Nothobranchius furzeri: one gene and its partners. The protein of the gene in region 6 binds, or shares a complex with, the protein of the main gene of each other region. Links are inferred from orthologs where the notes say so. Each region holds a gene or a part of one and is shown on either strand. Other genes may lie near its edges.

Region 1 (3,686 bases), on a different chromosome or scaffold from region 6:
TTTAAATGAAAACCAAAAAAAATGTTTTCATAAAAAAAGTATTTCATTAAAATATCTGCTCACCACAGACTAACGACTCATTGACCGGGTGCTGGAAGGAGACACTGAAACTTGAGTCGGTGAGAGGACAAACCTCGAACTGAAGAAGGCCTGCACTGTCTGAGGAGGAAGCAACAACAGTGTTTAATGCAGTTAAACTACACAGACAGAGAAACCACAAGTTTCTGGTGTAGTAGTGTGGACATGACACTTTTACCCTCTTTGGCAGAGGTTCGTTTGACGCAGCTGCCAATCAGAGTGTTATATGCTGCCTGGTGGCGAATGATGTCCAGCAGGAATGGCACTTGAGCTGGATGACGAAAAGGGATCTTGGACACCATTGCTCCTTGTAATGAATGTCCATCCTGAACTGGGGCATCGCCATTCAGGAAGTAACAGTGATGCTGATCTGGCAAGATCTGTAAAATGATTATATGTAGAAGTTATTTTAAACACAATTTTTACACGTTTTGAGCTATTTTGTAAGCATGAAATGCAAACAAAGAGCAGATCTGACAGATCATTCTTATATATTTAAATTATATATATATATATATACACACATACATATAATTATTTAGGAGCTTAAAAATATAAATGTATTGGAATGTGTTGGTATCAGCTCACAGAATAAAAGTGCATGTTATTCAGTGTTGCTGGCACAGAGCTGCTCTCGTCCAGCAGCTGCAGCTGACTCTGGACGATCAGCTGGTAGAGCGGTGAGAGGCTGGGTGACGTCTCAAATACTGGGATTGCTGGGGGGGGGGGGGGGGGGGGGGGTAGAAGAGGTGTAAGAAACACATACAAGGTAAGGATAATCCTTTCATTGCAAATACAGTGTATATACAGGTCCTTCTCAAAAAATTTGCATATTAGCATTATTGTCTGTAATGTACTGATAAACATTAGACTTTCATATATATTAGATTCATTACACACAACTGAAGTAGATCAAGCCTTTTATTGTTTCTAATATTGATGATTTTGACATACAGCTCATGAAAACCCAAAATTCCTATCTCAAAAAAATTTGAATATTTCATCCGACCAATAAAAGAAAAATGTTTTTAATATCAAAAAAGTCAACCTTCTAATAATTATGTTCAGTTATGCACGCAATTCTTGGACGGGAATCCTTTAGAAGAAATGACTGCTTCAATGCGGCGTGGCATGGAGGCCATCAGCCTGTGGCACTGCTGAGGTGTTATGGAGGCCCAGGATGCTTCGATAGCGGCCTTAAGCTCATCCAGAGTGTTGGGACTTGCGTCTCTCAACTTTCTCTTCACAACATCCCACAGATTCTCTGTGGGGTTCAGGTCAGGAGAGTTGGCAGGCCAATTGAGCACAGTAATACCATGGTCAGTAAACCATTTACCAGTGGTTTTGGCACTGTGAGCAGGTGCCAGGTCGTGCTGAAAAATTAAATCTTCATCTCCATAAAGCTTTTCAGCAGATGGAAGCATGAAGTGCTCCAAAATCTCCTGATAGCTAGCTGCATTGACCCTGCCCTTGATAAAACACAGTGGACCAACACCAGCAGCTGACATGGCACTCCAGACCATCACTGACTGTGGGTACTTGACACTGGACTTCAGGCATTTTGGCATTTCCCTCTGCCCAGTCTTCCTCCAGACTCTGGCACCTTGATTTCCGAATGACAAGCAAAATTTGCTTTAATCCGAAAAAAATACTTTGGACCACTGAGCAACAGTCCAGTGCTGCTTCTCTGTAGCCCAGGTCAGGCGCTTCTGCTGCTGTTTCTGGTTCAAAAATGGCTTGACCTGGGGAATGCGGCACCTGTAGCCCATTTCCTGCACACGCCTGTACACAGTGGCTCTGGATGTTTCTACTCCGGACTCAGTCCACTGCTTGTGCAGGTTCCCCAAGGACTGAAATCGGTCCTTCTCCACAATCTTCCTCAGGGTCTGGTCACCTCTTCTTGTTGTGCAGCGTTTTCTGCCACACCTTTTCCTTCCCACTGAGGTGCCTTGATACAGCACTCTGGGAACAGCCTATTCGTTCAGAATTTTCTTTCTGTGTCTTATCCTCTTGCTTGAGGGTGTCAATGATGGCCTTCTGGACAGCAGTCAGGTCGGCAGTCTTACCCATGATTGCGGTTTTGAGTAATGAACCAGGCTGGGAGTTTTTAAAAGCCTCAGGAATCTTTTGCAGGTGTTTAGACAGGGTTTTTCCTGCGTTCAAATTGGCGTGGCGGCCGCCTCCAGCTAATTTTGTGCCGCTCCAGCCTGATTTCACTCTGCCCCCAGCTATATGGATGTTATTTTAACTGCAGTTGCAGCGTTGCGCCACTACAGGGGCGCTGTATCAGCAGCGGTGCACCAAAAAGCGCTAAAGCCGCTCCAGAAAAAGATCAAAAATTGCTTTTCTCGCTTCTTGGTACATATCTATGGTTGGTGCTACTGACATCCCGATTTCCCCCAGGCTCTTCCATATCAGAGCAGGGCTGTACAGTGCGACGAAATAAACTGTCTGTGCGTGTTTGTCTATTTTAAATGAGCATAATTTAAACTGGATTATTGCCAACCCGTACATAATAGACATGCCACCATTACATTGTTAGCAGAAATTAAATGTTATTACCATTTCCAATACAAATGCATGTTAATGAAATGCATTATATTTTACTGGATATATTTGTGTTATTTTGACTATAATGACTGTTATTAATACAAACCTAAAATGTTACTGAAATGTAGGTCAAATATTTAAAAATATTTTTGACTATAAATATCAGATGGGAAAAAGGGAACTACACCAACCTAATACATATTATTGAACCTTTTATAATGAGTCTGTTATTTCAGCCTGATAATTTTGTTGTTTTATTTCATATTTTTTTTTGCAGCAAACCAGTTTTGTTTCACTTGAAACGTCAAATAGAATATTCAATTCATCAACAGAAGCTTAGATTAGAACACTTAACAAAAAATATTTGGCCTTTAAAAAAAGTGAAGCAGTTGAATGCACAGAGTATGCATGTGCTGGCGCATGGTCAGGATGGTACCACTTCTGCCTCAATTTGAGCCAGGAAAAACCCTGTTAGAGTTAATTAGTTGATTCAGATGATTAGGTTAATAGCTCGTTTAGAGAACCTTTTCATGATTTGCTAATTTTTTGGGATAGGAATTTTGGGTTTTCATGAGCTGTATGCCAAAATCATCAATATTAGAAACAATAAAAGGCTTGAACTACTTCAGTTGTGTGTAATGAATCTAATATATATGAAAGTCTAATGTTTGTTTATTTATTTGTAATGTTTATCAATACATTACAGAAAATAATGAACTTCATCACAATATGCTAATTTTTTGAGAAGGACCTGTACACTCACCAAGCACTTTATTGGGTACACCTGTCCAACTGCTCGTTAACGCAAATGACTAATCAGCCAATCACATGGTGGCAACTCAATGCATTTAGGCATGTAGACAAGGTAAAGACGATCCGCTGCAGTTCAAACCGAGCTTCAGAATGGGGAAAAAAGGTGATTTAAGTGACTTTGAACGTGGCATGGTTGTTGGTGCAGACAGGCTGGTCTGAGTATTTCAGAAACTGCTGATCTTCTGGGATTGTCACACATGACCATCTGTAGGGTTTACAGAGAATAGTCCGAAAAAGGGAAAACA
Region 2 (4,170 bases), on a different chromosome or scaffold from region 6:
GTAATACGCGTCATCGCTGCTGTGACATCTAGCTTTCCCCACTCAGGAACAATAAAGGGATTTTCTATTCTATTCATCTATCTGCAGCCTTTCCACTTCCTGTTTACTGTAGGTTAAATCTTTTCTCACGGGCCGACAACAAAATAAAAATATCATTTTATCTTAAATGAAAATGCAACATCTCACCTGTTAACTTTCATGTTTTGGAGCAGAAAAAGAGCATAAAACCAACATATTTAAAGCTCAGTTTGTTCCACTGGTTTACTGTGATGCTCACCTGTTCCAGCCAGATCCCTGCATCATGGGGTTGATCTGAGCTGAGGAGGAGACTCCTGTTGTTTTGTTCATCTTCATCATAATAATGACAACATTATATGACAACAGGTGCTCACATAGGTTTGTGCTGCTGAACATGTCTGAGCAGCTTGACCACGTCGTTGTGTGTTGGGGAGGAAAAATAAAAACGACAGCAGCCACAGAGTCATGCTGATTTGAGCTCGTCGCTGCTCGCTGGAGTAAAATCAGCTCTGTCTGAAAGTTAGTTGGAAATCTTTCTCTTATAGTCGTTCACACATTACAGAGCGGTTAAAATCTCCGTTTCTGGGCTTCAACGTCAGAAAACAGCTGAGTGAACTTGGCGCTGAGTGAGAGGAGCGTTTAGTTTGTCCGAGACAGCGGAGCTGCAGACACCGGCAGTAGATGCTGGAAAAAACACAAAGGAGGGGGCGCTTTGGCTCCGCGCTAACGCCGCAAACCATCATGGGAGTTGTAGTCTTTACAGTAAAATCGGCCAGCGGGTCAGTTTTAATATATTTTTGATATTTATCTCGCGGGCCACATAGAAATGCTCCGCAGGCCAGCCTTGTGTCTGACACATGTGTTTTAACACCTTAATCTAACAGCTGAAATGTCTCCTCAGCCTTCCTTATACAGGAGTGATTCATCACTAAATTAAACAAATTAGCTGTGTTCGTGATCTAAAACATGAAGGAAACGTGCTAGAAGCAGACTACTGCGTCAGGTAAATCAGCTTAACTTAGAGTGGCCCGCCAGTCTGAAGTTGCAAGTGGAATATTCTGGCCACGGTGGTGAGAGGGGCTGGGTGGCCTTTCATTAACCCTGCAAAGGGTCATTTTGGCACATAATAGCTTGAGAAAATGATTTAAAATTATGAAAAAAGTTGCATAGTATCCCTTTAAATGCAAATGAAATGAAAACACATTCTTACTTAAAATTGTTCCAACTAAAAACATTACAAGGTTCATCTTTCTACAAAAAATAAAAAAGGTGCAATGTGATTGTTTCCCCCCACTTTAATGTTTACCTGCATTCTTTTGATCATCATTAGCTGCTCCACCATGGGCTGGATCTCCCCCGTTAGATTCATGGTCCCCTCCAGCATGATGAAAGCATGAACTGATGGGAAAGAGGCACGGACTGGCGGGTCACTTTGTACCGAGAGCATCAGCGGGATGCTGAGGGAGAAGAGCAGAGATGCAGCATAAACAAGCTGGATTGTGATGGCCCTTCTAAGTCGGGCAGAGGAAGGCTGACCTTTTAACTAGAGACAAGCTTTCCTCTAGTTTAGCTCTGAGTGTTTGGTTTGGCACGTTAACAAGGCCGTCAGACACCTTGAGCACTGCTTGTTCAGCGTTACCCCAGGAACCTGAGGACATAGACACAGACACTTTAAAGGTGCATGAAGTAAGCGCAACATCCTGTGGTCTGCCATTTGCTTCAAAACAAATATGTTCCGAGAGAGATTTGAGGATTTTAAACACCATTGTATCCACAAGGAACACCTTTCAGCTTCTCAAAACAATATTTTTAAATAAATGGTTTGAAAAAGCTATTTTCAGGCACCTTGGTCCTCCAGTCGGGCAATGTGGACCAGAGCTCTGATCTTAGTGCTGCTCATCAGGTGGTGGAGCCTCTCCTGGCAGGCTTTGAGAGCGGCCTCGATGCTGGGAGACGGGCCCAGCTCTCTTAACTTCTCGCAGTAAAACGCACAGCCCTGCAGCAGCCACACGAGCACCCCCAGCAGGGCCCGGCACAGCCCGATGCAGTCCTCTGCTTTTCCGTGACAGCTGAGACACACACAGACAAGAAATTGTTTTAGTTTATACATTTTTTTAGTGGTAGAATGATGACCCATTGACACAATCTGTTGAGTTAGAAAAGATTGAACATACTTGAGACGATGGCAGAACATGTCCATTATCTCCAACAATGACATGACACACAGCTCCCGAGAAAAGCCATCAAACTGTTTAAATGGAGATATTTATGTTAAAGTTGTAGTTCTTCAAGTGATTACTACACCATTGTGTTTATATTCCAAAAAGTACCTTGCTGATGGCTGTTAGTACGCTGGAATAGGACACCATCTGAGACAGGGAGAATGAGGTGCACCATTAGATAATCTGTTCAGCTGCATGTTTGATCATAACCATGGTTCTTCTCTCTACCTGTGAGCTTATAGCATATCTAAGGTAAGACAGAATCAGCGGGTTGGGAGAGGGACCGATCATCGCCTGCTCCATCAGTGCCTCTAAAATACACAGAAAACATTTCAAATCATAGAGGAAGTGTTTATTAAATTAACAGATTATCAACAAATAGGCGTCACAAACCAGCAAAATTAAGGTAGTCCCATGTTTGGCCCTTTGGGAAGTTTTTTTTAATGTTGATGGCCCACTGGTGATCACTCCATCGTTCCTTCCACGCCTGCAAAATGGCTTGTTTCAAATTCACCACCTTCATCCTAGCAAGAGTGAACACACACACATTTGTCATGCACAAAACTCCAAATCCCCAATTTCAGCTAAGGTTTTAGGTATTTTATGGGAAAAAAAATTCAAGTCGTTTCAAGCACCTAAGGAAAACCATGGAAATCTGGTCCTAGGGCATGAGAGACAGGTCGTCTCTGCACAAACTGCTCCCCACCACAGACAACCCATCTCTCTTCAGGACGCCTCACTGCGGTCCTCACTGTTTGTCTGCTCCAACACTTCCAATTCAAAGCTTGAATTACATGATCAGCATGTCAACAAGCTCTGCAGAAGTACCTCACTGATTAAAACCACGCAGTGATTGCTATTGGATTAGAAACCACTGCCCTACAGAGACTAATCGGCTGCTCATTTGGCCATCTCTGCCATAGTAAATATGGCTTCAAGACAACATGCATACCATCGCTGTGCAACAGATGTTTTTATTGTAGATTAATTTTCCACAAACGCATATCTGTTTATAACTACAAATATACAACCATGAAACATGTTACTCTAGTATAGTAAAGCACCAATAGTTTATATTACTTCTGCCTATTCTTATACTTTTGTACTTCCCTGTCTGCTACTCTATCTATCTATCTATCTATCTATCTATCTATCTATCTATCTATCTTGTTAAGTATCTTATTAACAAAGAACATTTTTCTGTAAACGGATAGTACATTATTAGTTATAAAGCAGCCAGGTAAGGTTAAAGAGAAGCTAAAGCCTGAATAAGTCCACTAGTATGAAAAAACGACATCGAAACGTGGCTCATTGCAAGCAAAATAAAAGCAAACGAGGAAGTCTCGCCGCATTTCACTGATATATTCCATACTAATAATAGAATACTAATAGTTTGAACCATTCGTTCAATGTCGCTGAAGCGTGTTTATTAGCATGTTAGCCGTTAGATAGCGACGCGATCCATCAGCTGTTTGAAACAAACAAAAAAACTCAACAGCTATTAAACACACCTATGTCACCGTCAATGGGAACATTTCTAGTCGCACTGATTTTTTCCCAATGTAAGAATTACCTGACTTTTCCACAGCATGCAGGGCTGTAGGTTTGAAAACCAGACTCTCACAACGTAAGCGATGGAATCGTTGTTGCAACTACGTAAGCGCTCATTGGTCAATATTTCAAACGTAGGAGTATTCTCTCTGGTGATTGGTTGGAGCTAGTGCTCAAAAATTGCGTCGCAAGCATGAGATAATGTTGAACACTACATGTCGCTGTTTACCAGATGAGCAAAATTTATTTCTACCAGCGAGTCAGAGAAAGTCATTTAAACTGATTAAAAAGGGGTTTTGTTCTTATTAAATTCAATTAAAATATTAATAGGTAATATAAAATAAATATATTTAGATACTGATGTTTACCAGCATAAATT
Region 3 (3,333 bases), about 9.2 Mb from region 6:
GACTGAAGAAAATCACCATTAAAGTTCACTGCAGTTAGTTAAAGCAGTAGAAAGCCAAACTGGAGTGACCGTTTCCCATGACACCATACAACGCACACTGCAGAGGAATGGCATACATGGGTATTGTCTACGAAGGAAGCCTCTCCTAAAGCTCATGCACAAAAAGCACACCTAGGATTTGCTAGGGCCCGTGCTGAAAGAGATGAAGACTACTGGCACTCTGTACTCTGGAGTGATGAGACAAAGATCACAGTTTGTGGAAGTAATGGTTTCAAAACTATGGCGTTGTAAAGGTGAGGATTTCAAAGAGAAATGCATGGTGCCTACAGTGAAACGTGGTGGTGGTGGCAGTGTCCTTATGTGGGGCTGCATGAGTGCTGCTGGTGTTGGGGAGCTGCATTTCATTGATGGCATCATGAACTCAACGATGTCCTGTTCTATACTGAAGGAGAAGATGCAGCCATCACTCCATGCACTTGATCATTGGAGGGGATAATGCAAAGAAGGATTCTCCAGAGAATCAAGAAAATGATGGACAACCCTGAGCATTCTCTTCACAAGACTGTCCGACAACGGAAGAGTGTCTTCAGTCAGAGGCTTCTTCAGTTTGGCTGCAACACTGACCGCTACTGGAGATCCTTCCTGCCAACAGCCATTGTAATATACAATAACTCTTTGATGACTTGATTATTATTATTATTCTGAGCTACTACAGCAATCAATTTCCCTCTGGTATTAATAAAGTATCTTTGAATTGAATTGAATTTGAATCATTGTGCACGTTTCCACCACGACAATGATCCAAAACGCATCTAAAGCTACTGTTGCATTTCTGAAGAAGAACAGGGTGAAGGTGATTGAATGGCCAAGTATGTCTCCTGATCTGAACACCTGTGGGGAATTCTGAAGGTTGAGCATCACTCTCCATCCAGCATCCAGATTATAAAACACGTTATTCTTGAAGAATGGAAAAAGATAGATGTTAATGTTTATGTTTATTTATTTAGCAGACGCTTTTATCCAAAGCGACTTACAATTTATAACCTATAGGGCATGTTGTGATCTGTGGGGGAAACCGGAGTACCCGGAGGAAACCCGAGCATGCATGGGGAGAACACGCAACTCCACGCAGAAATAGCGACAGTGCAACAACTGTGCCACCATGCAGCCCGATGTTGCAATATGTCACCATCTTGTTCATGCCATGCCTAGAAGACTTGATGTAGTAGTTTTTGTTGAGGGGTGTATTCCTTTTTGCTAAAACCAATTTTAGCAAAACTGAAGATTTTGTGATCCAAGTCATATTAATAGCCTTAATTTCATGTTATGGAGTTAAGCAAGTGTTTAATAAAACCCAGCCTTGTTAAAATTCTGGAAAATTTTTTTAGTTCATTGAGCTACTGATTAAATTTGTACTCTTCAAAGGGGGTGTACTCATTAATACTGAGAACTGGATGAAAAAACAAAACTGCTGTGCGACTTATGTCACAATGCTATTCCGAGTCAACATTTTAAATCTTTTTAATGCCCAGCTAGAAACTTAATTAGTGTTTAAAATTTTCTCACCTTCTTTTTTTTCTTGTCTTTCTTCTTTTTCTTGCGGTCAGGATCATCGTCCCTCTTTTTCTTCTTTTTCTTGGGATCAGAGTCTGACGGAGTTTCTAAAATCAGAACAGACGTGTCAGTGTGGTGAAAAACACGTAGCACTTGTTTCAGCTGACCTCACTAACACGCCACCAGACCTTGTGGGAGGGGGTCCTGTGGTCGATTGTGCTTGTGTTTGTGTTTGCTCTTCTTCTTTGGGGGCTGTATGTGCATCAGTCTGTACTGTTCTGGAAGCTGGAAAAAAAAAAAAACACTACATGTTACATAACGGGGATAAGATGATCATTTATTATCAGGCATAATCAGTGTTGTGGTACCGGTCCTGTATGTAGTCTGAATCCTGTGAGCAGAGCACCAGTCAGCGGGCTGAACGAGTTCCCACAAACGGGAGGCTTATCTATCAGAGAGCGCAGAGAGCTGCCGTCCTGAGTGCCCGGACAGTCGATCATACCTGCAACAAAAGAGACACTATAAAAGTGGAAATAAAGAGCGTGGCTGAAAGGGATCCGTGTAATTTACAGGCCATAGTGAGGAGTCCAGGTGAGATTAAAGAGGCTAAAAAAAAACAACAAATCAGAAACAATGAAAGTTAAACTTTTGGTTTTAGAGATACAGCCTCAGCCCTCAAAGTCTAATTCATTAGAGCGCCCAGAAGTCCCAGCACCTGTCAGAATGCAGGTTTAGATTAACTATAGCTTAAGCCACTGGAGTCAAACCCTGGCCCTCGAGAACTGACCTGCCAGTGCATATGTTGCCAATACTACAGATCCCAGAATGCTTTGCTGCATTATCAGCAGCATCCATGCTACCAGTCTCGAGGAGGGTACGGCTGCGGACCTGGAGACCACAGATTCGGTCTCAGACAAACAAAAAAATGACTGCTTAGTTAGCACCCAGCAATTTGCCAACTTTGAAGCCCAAATATCAAGATTTCAACAGCTCAGTAATCTATTTGTGGCCGACGTGAAAAGCGCAGAAAGCAACCTCCAAATGGAGCCAAATGAGCTCCGGTGTAGTAAAACGCTCAAATTTGACTCTGTGGCTTCTGCTCAGTTTCCATCTGATGTGTTTTATTTCAAAGTTAACTGCCCGTGTGTTGTTAATTTTAAACTTTGGTTATTCCAGAGTAACTATTAATGCAAGACTATGGTTTGTTTCCATATAAAACATTCAACAACACAAATCAGAAGATAAAGAAAATTTTAAGCATTTGCATCCATAAACATTTTCCCATGACTTTGTTCTAGTTTCTCCAGTTTGGCCCAGAGTGAATTTCAGTTTGACACCCCTGGCTTAAACGATGACAAATACAGGTAGAAAATCCTGAAAAAGTATAGTATTTTGTCACTTGTTTAAAAAAATTCATCTGACCTATTATGTAAATTAGGGATGCACGGATAACTTTTTTACCACAAGGAAGGGAAACCATAGAAAGTCATTGCTAAAGAAGCATGTCAGTTCCACTTTACTAAGTCCATCAGGGACCGGACAAGTTGCAAGTGTGATATTCTGGCCACAGGGGGCGGTGGGGGTCTGAGTGACATTTTTTTCACCCTAAGGGTCATTTTAGTACATACTGGCTAAAGAAAACGATGTAAAAATATGAAAAAGTTGCAGAGTAAGCCTCAAGTCCAGGTGTGGTGTTGATATCTAATGATTTGGGCTCCATGTCCTCTCCTGGTGTTGGTCCATTGTGTTTTCTGAAGTCCACAGTAAACTCAGAAATTT
Region 4 (3,477 bases), on a different chromosome or scaffold from region 6:
TTATTGTAAAACAATAACAGAGTAAAAGAAATGATGAATGACAAAATGCACTGAAATTGGTCCAAAATTGATGTTTCCACTTTTATTGTCAGGATACTTGTTTCATGTAAAATATTTAAATGCAATACAGTACAATGCATGTTCCATCTGCCATCCTCCATACGATTAGTTGGTTTTGTCGTCATGTTGTAAGGCTTACTCACAGTACACAGCAACTCACACACTCTGCTGTGTTACGCTTGTCATGAAAACAAAATCATGACAATAGATTAAATTAGAAACTACTAAAATCCTTACTCTGTCCTTTCTGAACAAAAAAAGCCTCCATCCCACAGCTGTGAGATCAAAAATCTCCCAGCCTGCTTTGCCGCAGTTCAGTCCTCAGCGGAGGCCCCTTACACACAAAAAAACAAAACAAATAGGAGGACTGAGAATCTGTTAACGTGGGCAGTCACGTAGCAGCTTTCGTCTCATCCAAGTTTTGACGGGACGAGGGGAACTGAAGCAGAGGAAAGGAGATGGCTCGTCTGTATTTTGCCTGATTAATGGAATATTTTATTTTTATCCTCTTGATCTGCCTTTCACCCATGAGGATTTGCTTTACGCTGTACTGGGATTGTGTTGTCTGACACTGGTGGAGTTGTTTTGTCTCTCTGAACTACCAGATCACAGCAGAGTGCCTTCAGAAGGTAGGGTGTGGGGTGTTGCACCATCCCCACATCCTTCAGTACATTCGTTCAGGCGGTCACAGAAATGGCTGTGTGAGTGTGTGTTCAGATTAGAAATGTGTGTGTTTATTTGTGGGAGGGGTGTTTCAGTAGCGGTGGGACTGGTGGGAGTACTGGGGTGGTTGTTGGGAGGTAGAGGAGTATCCCATGCTGCTTTGGGGCAGTGATGTGCTTGGTCCAGGATTCTGGTAGGCAGCATGTGGATTAGAGCGCTGCATGAACAACAACAACAACAAAAAAAGCTTTGTCAGTAAAAACTTCAAATTTCTTCTGTTTTCATCAGCAATTAGTTTCTTTATTTAGCATTTAGGACACAAGCTGTTCTGTTTGTGTGTCCAGATGAGCAGCAGAAAAGCTCACCTGGTAGTCTGAGGTCATAATGAGGCCACCTGAGGTAGTGGTGGGAGGGACAACCCGCACCTTCTTTGCAGGTGGGCCCTGGGTGTGGCTATTTTCTGGGTTGCCAGTGTGCCCCGCCCCGTTTGTGTGGTTGTTTCCCTGTTGCTGCTGCTGGTTCTTCTAAAACACCCAACAACAAAACAATCTAAACAATACTGTACATGTACTACAACATTTTAGTTTCTCATTTTTGCTTTGACAGGGGTGCTCCAAGGGGTGGCCAGGGATGGGGGGCCATGGCCACACCCTGGTAAATTGGTGGCCACCCCACTGCCCCCCACCAGGGAAGACCACCCCCCCACCTTCCCTAATAAATCACAATCATGTTCACACAAATTGTACATTCATCTTTTTTTAATTAGGACATACATTTTTACACTAACAAATAAATGTATTCTACTAAAAAAAAATTATCACAGCTTATATACTACGTATCCCATTGAGGCTCACTATATTTTTTCAAAAATATGTTCAAAAAGGTTTTGTTCAAACGACAACAGGCAAATTTTAAACTTAAAATTATAAAACAGCAAAATTTAAAACAAAAGCGGAAAAAAACTATGAACCTCTTAAATGTTTGTGTTCCTCAACTCTGAGGTAAATATGACGGACGCATAGGCCTTTAGTTCTAAATGAAAGATAACAAAGAAGCAATCGACAGCCACAGGGACCAATTTGGTGCCACCCCAAATTTATACTGCCCGCCCATGAGGATTATCTACGTACACCACTGCTTTTTGATTCAAATGCATTCATAAAATAAGTTTGTAAAGTAAATTTTACTTTGTCTCCTTTGTCCTCTGGCTCCTCCTCTGTCAAGAACTCTCTCTTGGGGTAGGGAATCTGACAACCTGCAAACACACTAGAAGAATGCAAAAACACCTCATCAACCTGTTCAGGAGTCTCCTCCGGCACGTTAGCCGCGCTAAAAGCCAGAACTAAATCTGCTGCAGCTCACTCAGACGTGGGAAGAGGCTCTTCTAAAAAGTACGGGTCCTGCATTGCCTGCTCCGATGTGATTCTACGGATGGGGTCCATGGTCAATAGTTTTTGCAGCTGCAATCAATAACGTGATTTTAATGTCAAACAAAAAGCCGTACCAGATATATCAGGCAGAGAAAGACTAAATCAAAAGCGCTTCAACTCACCAAGTGGAATGCTTTACTGTCTGGTTTAACTTTATGTTTTTCCATGTACTTTATAAGGCTGCAGTTTGTGTATCTGTATAAAAACAGGAGCAAACTATGAAGTGTGTGTAATTTTTGTGTATTAAGATATACTTTGCTTTGTTTTGATCTTAAAACAAATAAAAAACAGGACACAAGTGGTCTGCAGACTCACGTGTTCCTTCTGAAATCTTTCATCAGTGTGGAGTGCTCTGGCATCTTTTTGATGTCTTCCCAGTCTTTATCTGTTAGACCAAGGCAACAAAGGGTTAGGACGAAGGATCATTTATCTTTAAAGAAATTAAAAAATTATTTTTCCACAGCAACTTACAATTAAACAACATTTCTTTCATTTTTACACCAATTAGCTTTGGTTTTGTACTTAAACTCTGCAAATTTGCCCAAAATTTCTGCAGAAACCAAAGTGATCCTTCTAACTGACTGGTGAATTAAATAAATAGAGCGGCAGAGACGAGAAAAGAAAAAAGGAAAAGTGAAGCAGATTTTGTGAACTGGAAAGTATCGGTCCAAATGTAGGCCTGCAAGCAACCATCTCTAGGTTTGTGACTTGTATAAAGTCTGTGGTTTGATGTCCGGCGTCTACAGACCACATTAATACATTCAAAAACAGAGCAAGTAAAGACCGAGAAAATAATGCGTTTCATCACATTTCCTTCCAGAACATCGTAGCTGGAAAAATCTTGTGTAACACCAACACATTAACAGTCTCACCAGCAGGGAAGCCCATAACATTAAAGATTCGGTCCAGCTGGTCGTGGTGGTATGGGTTGCTGGTCTTGATGTCCTCCTGACGACAATGGAATATGGGCTCAGACGTTAGCAGCTCTGCAAAAATACAGCCAATCGCCCAGATGTCTGGGAGAAACGCACAGCACGTGCTGACATAAGTCAAAGCCACACCAATAAAAAACACGTGCAGAGCAGAAGTGGAAAAGGGTTTCACCGATGGCTTTGGTGTAGTGCCGAGCCCCCAGCAGCAGCTCAGGTGCTCTGTACCAGAACGTGACCACGACGGGGTCGAGATCAGCTAAAGGCTTCAGTGGTGAATTGAAGAGACGAGCAAACCCCATATCCGCTACAAAACAACAACGTGTGTTAGTTTATAAAGTAAAACTTTACTTAAGAAATGAACACGATACACACCGATCTTCACTCTACCCCTT
Region 5 (4,472 bases), on a different chromosome or scaffold from region 6:
TTGTTAAACCTAACAAAATTCCACAGCAGTTCAAACGGAATGTTATTTTATTAGCTTTTATGCCACCATAAATTTCTGCTGTTGGAGATTTTCAGACTAGAATCACCACAAGTGAGACGTTTCTGGGTTATTTACGGCAGAAATTAGCTGCAGAACTAGCTACTATAGAACTTTTGTTTGCAATTCTTGGTTATATCCGTCAGAATAATCATGAACTCTAAAAACAATGTAAAATGCTGCATAATCTAAGATTTTTTTGGGACTTTAAAAAATCTTTGTGACTGACCTAATTTGAACTAGCTGTTAGCTCCTCTGTCAGATCAGGACTAATCTACATTGCTCCAAACTAAAGCTGCTTGTTTTCTCTTTATTTTATGCATATAAAAGAGAAAATGTAATCAAAATTACAGTTTGACCATAATTCTAAAAAAAGAACAAACTAACCAATCTTAATTTATTTCTGTGATCATACCACCCACCCCTCAAGTAAACGTCACAATATTTCCATTTGGATCAATGAACATCAAAGTTGGTGAGAGTTAAACGGGATATTGTGCGAATCTCAAACCCGGCAGAAAACATGCAAATGATGCATTCACTTACTCGAAAGCTCATTGTGGATAAGCTCTGCAAAACTGGGGTCATCCCCCCACCAGAAAAGCCAAAGCTCCCTGCGACCCGGGGTGTGGTGCCTTCTCCACACACTTAGCACATCTGCTGCCAGGCATCGGCTGAAGCTACACAAGATCGGGTCCTCCTCGGTCACCGGGAAGAGGATGGGCGAAGAGGTGGGACCTTGCCACACAAAACGTCGCCATTTTATTCCAGTCAAATCAGCCTAAAGGGAAGAAAATATAAAAAAACAAAGTGTGAATAAAAATTTAAAACACAAAGGCAAATCCATGGCTATGCGTATGTGTTTTAGAAAGCTGAAGGCTGCTTTTTCTGTCTTATAGTAAAGCACTTTACATAATAAAGATAATAACAAGAGGATGGTTGACATTGTTGCACGCGGTGTATAGTTACGGACTGGGCCAACTTGTGACTGCCTAGTTGTATTATGAATAAACTTAGCAAGGCTCACAAAGTGCTGCACAACACTGCAATGCAAGGTGGCATCACTGGAAGTGACATGAGGTTCAACTTGTCCACAAACGTGTCAACAGATGAAGAGGAAAAGGCCTGAGCTGCAGGTGTCTTTCATCTGAGACACGTCTGACCCTCAGCACTTGTATTAGCATCAATGCACGGGGGGTTTCTATCAACAAATTAAAAATGAAGCTTTATGTGGTGGATGAACCAACTTATTTGTCCCTCTTTTCCATACAATCAACATGTTAAAAAAACTTGAAAAACATTTACATTTAGATATTTAAGCTTTTGTTTTTTAGAAAATAGAATGCACAAACATACCTGATGCAAAAATTAATAACAGAGAAGAACTTCAAAAGCTGATTAATTGAAGTATTTTACACAGTAACTGATCAAACTTTCTATTTCAAGATCATTTCAGAGCAAAGCCACCTTCTAGGAAAAAAACATTCTGTGTTTTCATTCATTTTGTTCTAAAACATGTAGACAACACTGAATGTTTCACTGCAAAAAAAAAGTAAGCATAAACTTGTAAACACATTTCATTTTAAGTTGCCAAGGCAGCTGACTTCATTCCAGACTTTTCCAGAGGTTAATTTCCAGACTGCAGCTGATTCTAGAACATTTCCTGAATTTTACTGTAAATATCCACTAAATAATTGTGAAATAGGCTAGTTAATGTGCACCTGGTATTCTGACAGTTATTTTAACACGTTTCTATAAAGGTCAAATGATCCAACTAACAAACAGAATAACACTCAGCATGGAAAACTCAAGATATAACCATGGAAAACCAACAGATGTCCATCCCACTAGTAATATAGATGTTATTATATTACACGTTAATTTTACGTGCATTTCATGATTAGTCAATAAATAATATCATGATCGCTAAGGTTTGTCTTCATTTTTCATGTTAAATAACTCCATAACTTAGCTACATTGTTTTGAAAAGCTTGTATGTTCACTTCTTTAGAATCTGATTTTTACATTTTTGAGTAATAAAATAGTAGGAAACGAAAGTCTGGTAACGCAAATGCGTTCCACACACTGCTCTTATTTCCATACATGTAACGGAAAATACAAAATAAAAACAATTTTATACTTTTTCAGACTGCAAAGAAAACCCTGTTATTCTGTTTATAGATCATTTAAAAACATATCCAACACAATTTAGAACAATCGGCTGTGTTTCAAACAATTCCCAACCCGTTATAAACATGTTGCTAACACTGATTATCCCTCTTCAACTGCAGTGTAAACATGGGCCAAAAGCACAATCGCAAACACGTCATTTTTTATAAAGTAGCCAAACAACATGTGTTTTGTGTGTTATTAAAACAAGCAGGATGACAATTTGAGACTTGAAGGCCCGATGCCTTCTCGCCAATCTGAAACTGACGTTACAAAGCTTGTTGCCTTCTGAGCCAAAATGGCTTTCTGGCCTTTCAGCAACACAACTAGCGCTAGCTAGGCTTACCAGGCAGAAGATGTTGGAGTGGCAATCCTCCAAACTGGCTCCGTTTGGTACAAAGCACGAACTCATCCTTTCACTGCGCGGTGGTAACGTTCAAGTCCATTGTCTCAACCACCTTTGGGGCAATAGCTGATAGGTGTAACTCGCAAGCGAAGCGACGTTCACTTGTAATTAAGTCAGCCAACTTCTAACCGGCGCTAGCTACTAGCCTGGCGGCTAAGCTAACATTAGACAGACAGCCAGATAGCGTCAACTGTAGGCTTCTAGCTAGTCGATTCATCAATCCTATTTGAAATGTATTGTCTGATCTGGTTAGCCGCAGAGCTGCGGCCACATCACATAAATATCAAACAATTAACGTTAACCTAACCAGAACAGACTAAAGTTAAAACAAACCCCAGAAATTTGAAAGAACGAGCTCGGAAACTAAAAAAACTTCATCACAAAAGCTTGGTCCCTGGTGTGCTAATGCTAACGTCAGCTAGCTGATCTGAAACAATTTCAAAGCAGAGGAACTCTCCCCTCCCCCTGATCTCAGCTAGCCTGCCAGCTAAATAAAACAATCAGCTACACCGCCCTCATTCCTTCTAAAACCTCAACGGAGCTCCGTCATGATAAAACTGTTCGTCAAACAGAATAAATGCCAAATCTCCGACACTACTCATCGGCTAATCGTCTCTGCCTGGATCCATGGGTGTCCTGCAGATTTCCATTATTTCACTACATGGATTGAATTCTTTAATGGCGGCCAGGAGGACAACTCTGCCTCTCAGCTCCCATTGGCCAATTTGTGTTGATGGGGGCGTTATCCGGCTTCAAGAAGCTCCATGACTTCACAGTTTACAAGATGAGAGCCTCAGTGCATCTGTCATACAGTGGTAACTCTTTACTTAACATGTCTCACTCTGCTGCCAGTGCTAGACGTTACCATTTTTATATAATATGTCAAGTTTATAAGGCGGCAATTTAGCTTTTGCACTTTTAAAACAAAGATATCAGCACTCTAATGTGTAATTGGGGATTAATGTGCAGATGTTAAATAATCTGTGGGCAATCTGAGTGGTTGCTGCTAGCACTAGCATCCTTAGCAAGTTAGCTAACTAGCCGAGCTTTTAACGTTCACAAACCTTTACGTTTTAAACCAAAGTCGACTGCACATGATGTTCTTTGGTTTTTTTTTTTTATGTAAACTTGATGCTGCTTTCGCTTCTACGTTGAGGGGCGGAGCTTCTGCTTACAGTCCCGTTTTAAACGTCCCTCCCCCAAAAAGGCGGAGCGTCAGACTAGTCGAGAAAATGTCAACAACATGCCGGAGCCCACCCGAGAAACAGAAACAGAGGAGGTTGTGAGTGACAGGCGACGGAGACGGGAAGAAAACCAGAACCAGCCGTCACGTAACGTCGTGTCCGTAGTTTCTCAATTCGCAGACGAGAATTTGTCGCTCGTGCGGGTAGGAGCCTCTTTTGTCTAGGATCGATGACGTATGTGGTCTCACGAGCTGAAACCTGCACATGTGGGGACATGTCTTTTAAGCTGCTCTTTTGCAACACACGATGTCTGGTGAATCACCACACCGGCCAGATATCCCATCGCCAGCTGTCAACAGTAGCCTTTAGTGCGCTTGTGTTACTGTCATTGCTGGGTGGAAGCACATCCACAGCTGAGTGTAAGATTTCACTCTCACCCTGTCACCTTCCTCTCCCTCTCTATCTCCTGTCTCACACAGAACATTAGCACTGGACTGGCTCTCGCTGGTGTGATAGTGATCGCGAGGAGCATCAAACTGGTAGGGAAGAAAAGCCCAAGTGATACTCAAACACACTCCGTTAACTGATGACATAAAAATAAACATGACAAATCCAAATCTAAAAGACCTTTTTATCTTTTGGTCTCTGCAGATCAC
Region 6 (3,686 bases):
CCTCTTCCTCAGGGGGCAGAGGGAGAGGCTCCAGGTAATAGCTGCGAGGTTTGGGCTTCAGGTGGGTGTGGTAGAGCAGGAAACGCTGCTGCTCCTCAAATTTAGTGATCTTCCGGTCCACACGTACAGTTCCAAACCAGCCCCAGGAGAGAGGGGCTGAGTGTTTCAGACCCTCAAACACATCCCAAGGAGAAATCTTCTGTTTGGTTGATACTTGAAGGCCCTGATGAACCAAATTACACATTTTAATCAATAACAAAAGCCTAAAAGACCTGAAATATTGAACATTAGAAAATTTAAATGACCAGTGTTTCAAAAACAAATGAAGCTGTAGAAGCAGTGATGATTAGCCTAACAGTTGCTTTTGATCATTATGACAAAAACAATGTCTTTGCACTGTCCTCTATTTGTCTCAGAACCACCAAATCTCCAAGTTCTAGCATTCATAAGAACCTAACCCAAAGCCATTGTCGATCGTCATGTTGAACGAGGAGTAAAGTGTGTCTACCTCCTTCTCAAAGCCGGCGATCTTGTTGCCCTTTGTGTCTATTAGTGAGCCTTGGGGTTCACAGGTGATGACATCACGGGTTTGTTTCGGTAGCGGCAGAAGCTGGCGAACCTTCTCCAAACTTTCTGACTGTCGATCTCCAAGCTCCTTCTGTACGAGTAAGAACAAACGGAGCAACAATTACAAAATCGTACAACCTCAAATGTCAAAGATTTTACCTTAGTCAGAACCACTTTTAACCCTTCGAGCTGGAGCGTCCCCTAATTCTGGGACAAACAGGTGAAGCAGCAAAAGGCCTAGAGCCCAAAGTCATTAGATCATCAGCAGCCATATTGTTTGGCTATTTTACTGTCTGGAAACATATTCTTGAATAGTCCGAATTACCACGCATTCTAATATTACGCAGTAAAACTCAAAAGTTGCTCTTGCTTTCCTTATATAATATATGCTCATACAAGCTGACAGCTTAACAGCTTAATTGCACTGAATTATTTAGATACTTAATAAAAATTAATAAAAAAAATGTTAATGTCTTTAATAGTAATGATTTATTTTGTATATTGCCGATTGAACGCTGCAGAGTGGTTGGAGAAACGGGTTTCAACTCACTCACTCACTTACACACACAAACACACACACACAGGGTACGAAATTAAATTTTTTACTCACCGGCCAAGCGGCATATTTTTTACCGACCAAAATTCTAAATGATTTAGATCTACCTAAAGCATGTTACTCTATATTATGTTGATTCCAGACAGAGTGACAAAATAATTAAAACATCAATTAATAAGAAAAACAACTCTTTTGTCATTTTTACTATTTATTTATTTTTAGAGATGTTTTTATGAACTCTTTCATTGAAATCTAGTCAGACTCCTTGTTTTCTCTGTCCATGAAGTCTGGCCTCCTGCTTCTGACACCGTCTTTGTGCCAAAGCATTACAGCCTCATTTGGGTCCTAGTCCTTGATCTCTGGAGAACACAGCTGCACCATGAGAATATCTGAAAGTGTGTCAGGGCTAGGGTTGTCACGGTAACGGGTGTAGCAGTAAACCCCGGTAAAAAAGTTGACAATAATAATAACCGTCTTGTTTTAAAAAAAAAAAAATCTCGGTGGATTACCGTGGCTGTGGTGTAGGCGCGGTGACCCTTACCAGCCACCGTATCATCTGCTGAAGTAGCCGGCGGCACATGCGCACTTTGTTGTTTACAACCAAAACTTTCTTGAAGCTAAAGCTGAAATAATGGCCAAAGGAGATGGCAGCACTTGGGACATTTATTATCCTTCAAAGAAGAAAAAGTCAGAAGTACGGGCATTTCTTGGATATTTGAAGAATGCCGAGGGACACACACTTGACCTTTTTAAACCCCAGGACAGCAGCAAGTGGGAACTGGAGGATGGAGAGAGGCAGCGGGCAGGACACAGGATGAAGACGGGGGGAGGGTTACGCTATAGGTTAGGCAGAATTGTTTTTTTCTGCTTTTCTACAATGACTGGCCTAAACTTCTTCACCATGTGCTGAGTCGTGTACCACACATGCTTTTTTGCTACAGAACTCACGTGTCCACAGCTTTTTGCGTAGTTTAGAGGGGTGAGTCATACCAAGGTAATTAGATGCCAAACTGCATAACTGCCAAGCAAAGTGTGTACAGGTTGGCAGGTCTGAAACTAGAATAAAAGCCCCTTGATTATTGCCGTAGCTCAACTACACACTTGCACACTCTTTCAGCCCCCCCCCCCCCCCCACACACACACACACACACACACACACACACAGGTCCTACCCTGAGCTTCTTCACCAGGTTCATGTAAGCTCTCTTGTTCTCCTCCATGCTGCCCTGGGAGATGCTGGACATGTCAGCAGCCAGCGTGCCATTTATTAGCACACTTAACATGTCCAACACCGTTGTGAACAGCTCACTGCAGAAAAGAGACGGAGATGAGCACCAGACAGGCACATTACTGACAGTGACTTTGGAAACTCCCTGTAGGCAACACTCACTTGTTGGACTGCATATCCACCGTGCCGCTGCTGATGATGTCGAGGAGAAGAACTGCCCATTCAGTGGTCTGCTGGGTGCTCCGCTGCACCGTATCAAACATGCCTCCAACCTTAGCAAGAAAACAAAAACGCTTCATGAAATCTTTTATTCTAAGAACTCAAATCCAGACCAAAGTCGGTTCTGTGTGATAAGGTGCACATGAAACTAGAAACTTGTGCAATTATTTTGAATCAGAATAAACAAAATCTTGTTAAGATGTTGTGTTATACAGCTATCTATGCTTTTGAAAGACGCTCACAAGATTCAGACGTAGTTTCAGAGCCTCGTGCATCATTTGCTTGGCCTTGCAGTCATCCTGGTACTGATCTTCTCTCCAGTTTGTGACAATCTGCTGCACTTGACTGTAGAGGGAGGTAAGAAGGCCTTCCCTCTGTTCATCCTGGCCCTTCAAGCAGGTCAGCACCAAAGACAGGAACGGCTGCTGGCTCAGCAGAGACATACTGCGGGAGCAGAAACACACGATTGTTCCAAAACTACCAAGATTCCAGGGAAAAGACTCAGCTGCCACGTACCTTTTCTGTTTCTGCCTGTCCCTCTCTTTGCGAGAGGAGGAGCCGAGGTGCTGTCCCTTTTCCAGTTCCTCTCCGGCTGCTTTCAGGACATGGCCCTGGACCGATGTGGGCAGCTTGGCTATCAATGGGGCCACCAGCCAGACGCCTGATCGCTCTGAGGAGCTGGATATCAGTGAAAACAAAGATCTTAGCTTCATTCAACCCAAAATGTAGATTAAAGACAGATCCCATTATCAGTGCAGAGTTGAAATCCGCACCTTAAAATAGGTTTCATCTTGCTCGTGGTGCTGTTGCTATTGGATGCAGAGCCAGCCTGGGCTGCCGCTCCATTTCCTGAGGGGTTACTGGAGTTCATCTCAGCTGATTTCTGGAAAACCTCTATAGTGGCTTTAGCTATGTTCTCCAGGAGAGAGTAGAGCTCCTAAATATAAAATAAACACATTTATGTCGCCAGTAACAACTATAAATTCACCATTTTCTGTTACTGGGACAACAGGAAGGAGTTAGACTCACATTGTTTGTGCTCTGTTTGATCATCAGCTGCAGCTCCAGAGACGACTGCCTCATCGTCCACTGGTCCATATTCTGCCACAGAGAGAA

The links.
Region 1: med12 (region 6) and med1 share a complex: the UniProt entries of both Homo sapiens proteins name them as parts of the mediator complex. The link is inferred for Nothobranchius furzeri from reciprocal best matches to the Homo sapiens genes MED12 and MED1.
Region 2: med12 (region 6) and med24 share a complex: the UniProt entries of both Homo sapiens proteins name them as parts of the mediator complex. The link is inferred for Nothobranchius furzeri from reciprocal best matches to the Homo sapiens genes MED12 and MED24.
Region 3: med12 (region 6) and med19a share a complex: the UniProt entries of both Homo sapiens proteins name them as parts of the mediator complex. The link is inferred for Nothobranchius furzeri from reciprocal best matches to the Homo sapiens genes MED12 and MED19.
Region 4: the proteins of med12 (region 6) and cdk8 are in contact, whole or in part, in a cryo-EM structure (PDB 8TQ2), measured with the Homo sapiens proteins. The link is inferred for Nothobranchius furzeri from reciprocal best matches to the Homo sapiens genes MED12 and CDK8. Residues at the interface, in NP_005111.2 of Homo sapiens: Pro26, Gln27, Gln31, Glu33, Asp34, Leu36, Asn40, Val41, Lys42, Gln43, Gly44, Phe45, Asn47; in NP_001251.1 of Homo sapiens: His143, Ala144, Trp146, Phe180, Asn181, Ser182, Pro183, Pro186, Ala208, Arg209, His210, Thr212, Lys213, Met273, Pro274, Pro320.
Region 5: the proteins of med12 (region 6) and mediator of RNA polymerase II transcription subunit 13-like are in contact, whole or in part, in a cryo-EM structure (PDB 8TQC), measured with the Homo sapiens proteins. The link is inferred for Nothobranchius furzeri from reciprocal best matches to the Homo sapiens genes MED12 and MED13. Residues at the interface, in NP_005111.2 of Homo sapiens: Ala3, Phe4, Arg12, Pro13, Arg16, Leu86, Thr123, Thr127, Thr150, Pro152, Val153, Met154, Arg155, Phe242, Pro278, Leu281, Arg282, Arg356, Pro357, Phe360, Gly361, Cys364, Gln367, Thr368, Cys372, Pro407, Glu408, Phe413, Val417, Lys1526; in NP_005112.2 of Homo sapiens: Ser157, Glu158, Thr336, Val337, Pro339, Gln340, Ser341, Gln343, Lys344, Trp345, Lys347, Phe348, Asp1186, Ile1189, Leu1190, Gln1193, Asp1194, Pro1332, Ile1333, Thr1335, Leu1337, Tyr1340, Asp1341, Tyr1342, Asp1343, Tyr1344, Leu1345, Val1346, Leu1347, Ser1348.

What each region holds. Positions count from the first base shown.
Region 1 is NC_091756.1:39,210,764-39,214,449, forward strand, and holds part of med1 (mediator of RNA polymerase II transcription subunit 1), read right to left. Parts: intron 795-3,686; coding exon 667-794; intron 459-666; coding exon 257-458; intron 160-256; coding exon 64-159; intron 1-63. UniProt on the Homo sapiens protein: Component of the Mediator complex, a coactivator involved in the regulated transcription of nearly all RNA polymerase II-dependent genes.
Region 2 is NC_091756.1:31,526,229-31,530,398, forward strand, and holds the start of med24 (mediator of RNA polymerase II transcription subunit 24), read right to left. Parts: upstream 2,897-4,170; 5' UTR 2,890-2,896; coding exon 2,876-2,889; intron 2,765-2,875; coding exon 2,634-2,764; intron 2,552-2,633; coding exon 2,469-2,551; intron 2,388-2,468; coding exon 2,349-2,387; intron 2,267-2,348; coding exon 2,193-2,266; intron 2,088-2,192; coding exon 1,864-2,087; intron 1,667-1,863; coding exon 1,555-1,666; intron 1,476-1,554; coding exon 1,325-1,475; intron 1-1,324. UniProt on the Homo sapiens protein: Component of the Mediator complex, a coactivator involved in the regulated transcription of nearly all RNA polymerase II-dependent genes.
Region 3 is NC_091741.1:91,561,757-91,565,089, reverse strand, and holds part of med19a (mediator of RNA polymerase II transcription subunit 19-A), read right to left. Parts: intron 2,057-3,333; coding exon 1,923-2,056; intron 1,840-1,922; coding exon 1,743-1,839; intron 1,662-1,742; coding exon 1,567-1,661; intron 1-1,566. UniProt on the Homo sapiens protein: Component of the Mediator complex, a coactivator involved in the regulated transcription of nearly all RNA polymerase II-dependent genes.
Region 4 is NC_091747.1:51,014,399-51,017,875, reverse strand, and holds the end of cdk8 (cyclin-dependent kinase 8), read right to left. Parts: coding exon 3,458-3,477; intron 3,390-3,457; coding exon 3,258-3,389; intron 3,170-3,257; coding exon 3,026-3,169; intron 2,539-3,025; coding exon 2,469-2,538; intron 2,349-2,468; coding exon 2,276-2,348; intron 2,184-2,275; coding exon 2,086-2,183; intron 1,990-2,085; coding exon 1,911-1,989; intron 1,248-1,910; coding exon 1,089-1,247; intron 941-1,088; coding exon 815-940; 3' UTR 596-814; downstream 1-595.
Region 5 is NC_091753.1:50,252,325-50,256,796, forward strand, and holds the start of mediator of RNA polymerase II transcription subunit 13-like, read right to left. Parts: upstream 2,869-4,472; 5' UTR 2,639-2,868; coding exon 2,573-2,638; intron 839-2,572; coding exon 604-838; intron 1-603. Other genes in the region: c18h3orf33 (protein C3orf33 homolog), read left to right, coding at 3,876-4,019, 4,296-4,355, 4,468-4,472. UniProt on the Homo sapiens protein: Component of the Mediator complex, a coactivator involved in the regulated transcription of nearly all RNA polymerase II-dependent genes.
Region 6 is NC_091741.1:82,323,149-82,326,834, reverse strand, and holds part of med12 (mediator of RNA polymerase II transcription subunit 12), read right to left. Parts: intron 3,672-3,686; coding exon 3,600-3,671; intron 3,508-3,599; coding exon 3,344-3,507; intron 3,249-3,343; coding exon 3,087-3,248; intron 3,015-3,086; coding exon 2,813-3,014; intron 2,624-2,812; coding exon 2,514-2,623; intron 2,432-2,513; coding exon 2,296-2,431; intron 659-2,295; coding exon 509-658; intron 224-508; coding exon 1-223. UniProt on the Homo sapiens protein: Component of the Mediator complex, a coactivator involved in the regulated transcription of nearly all RNA polymerase II-dependent genes.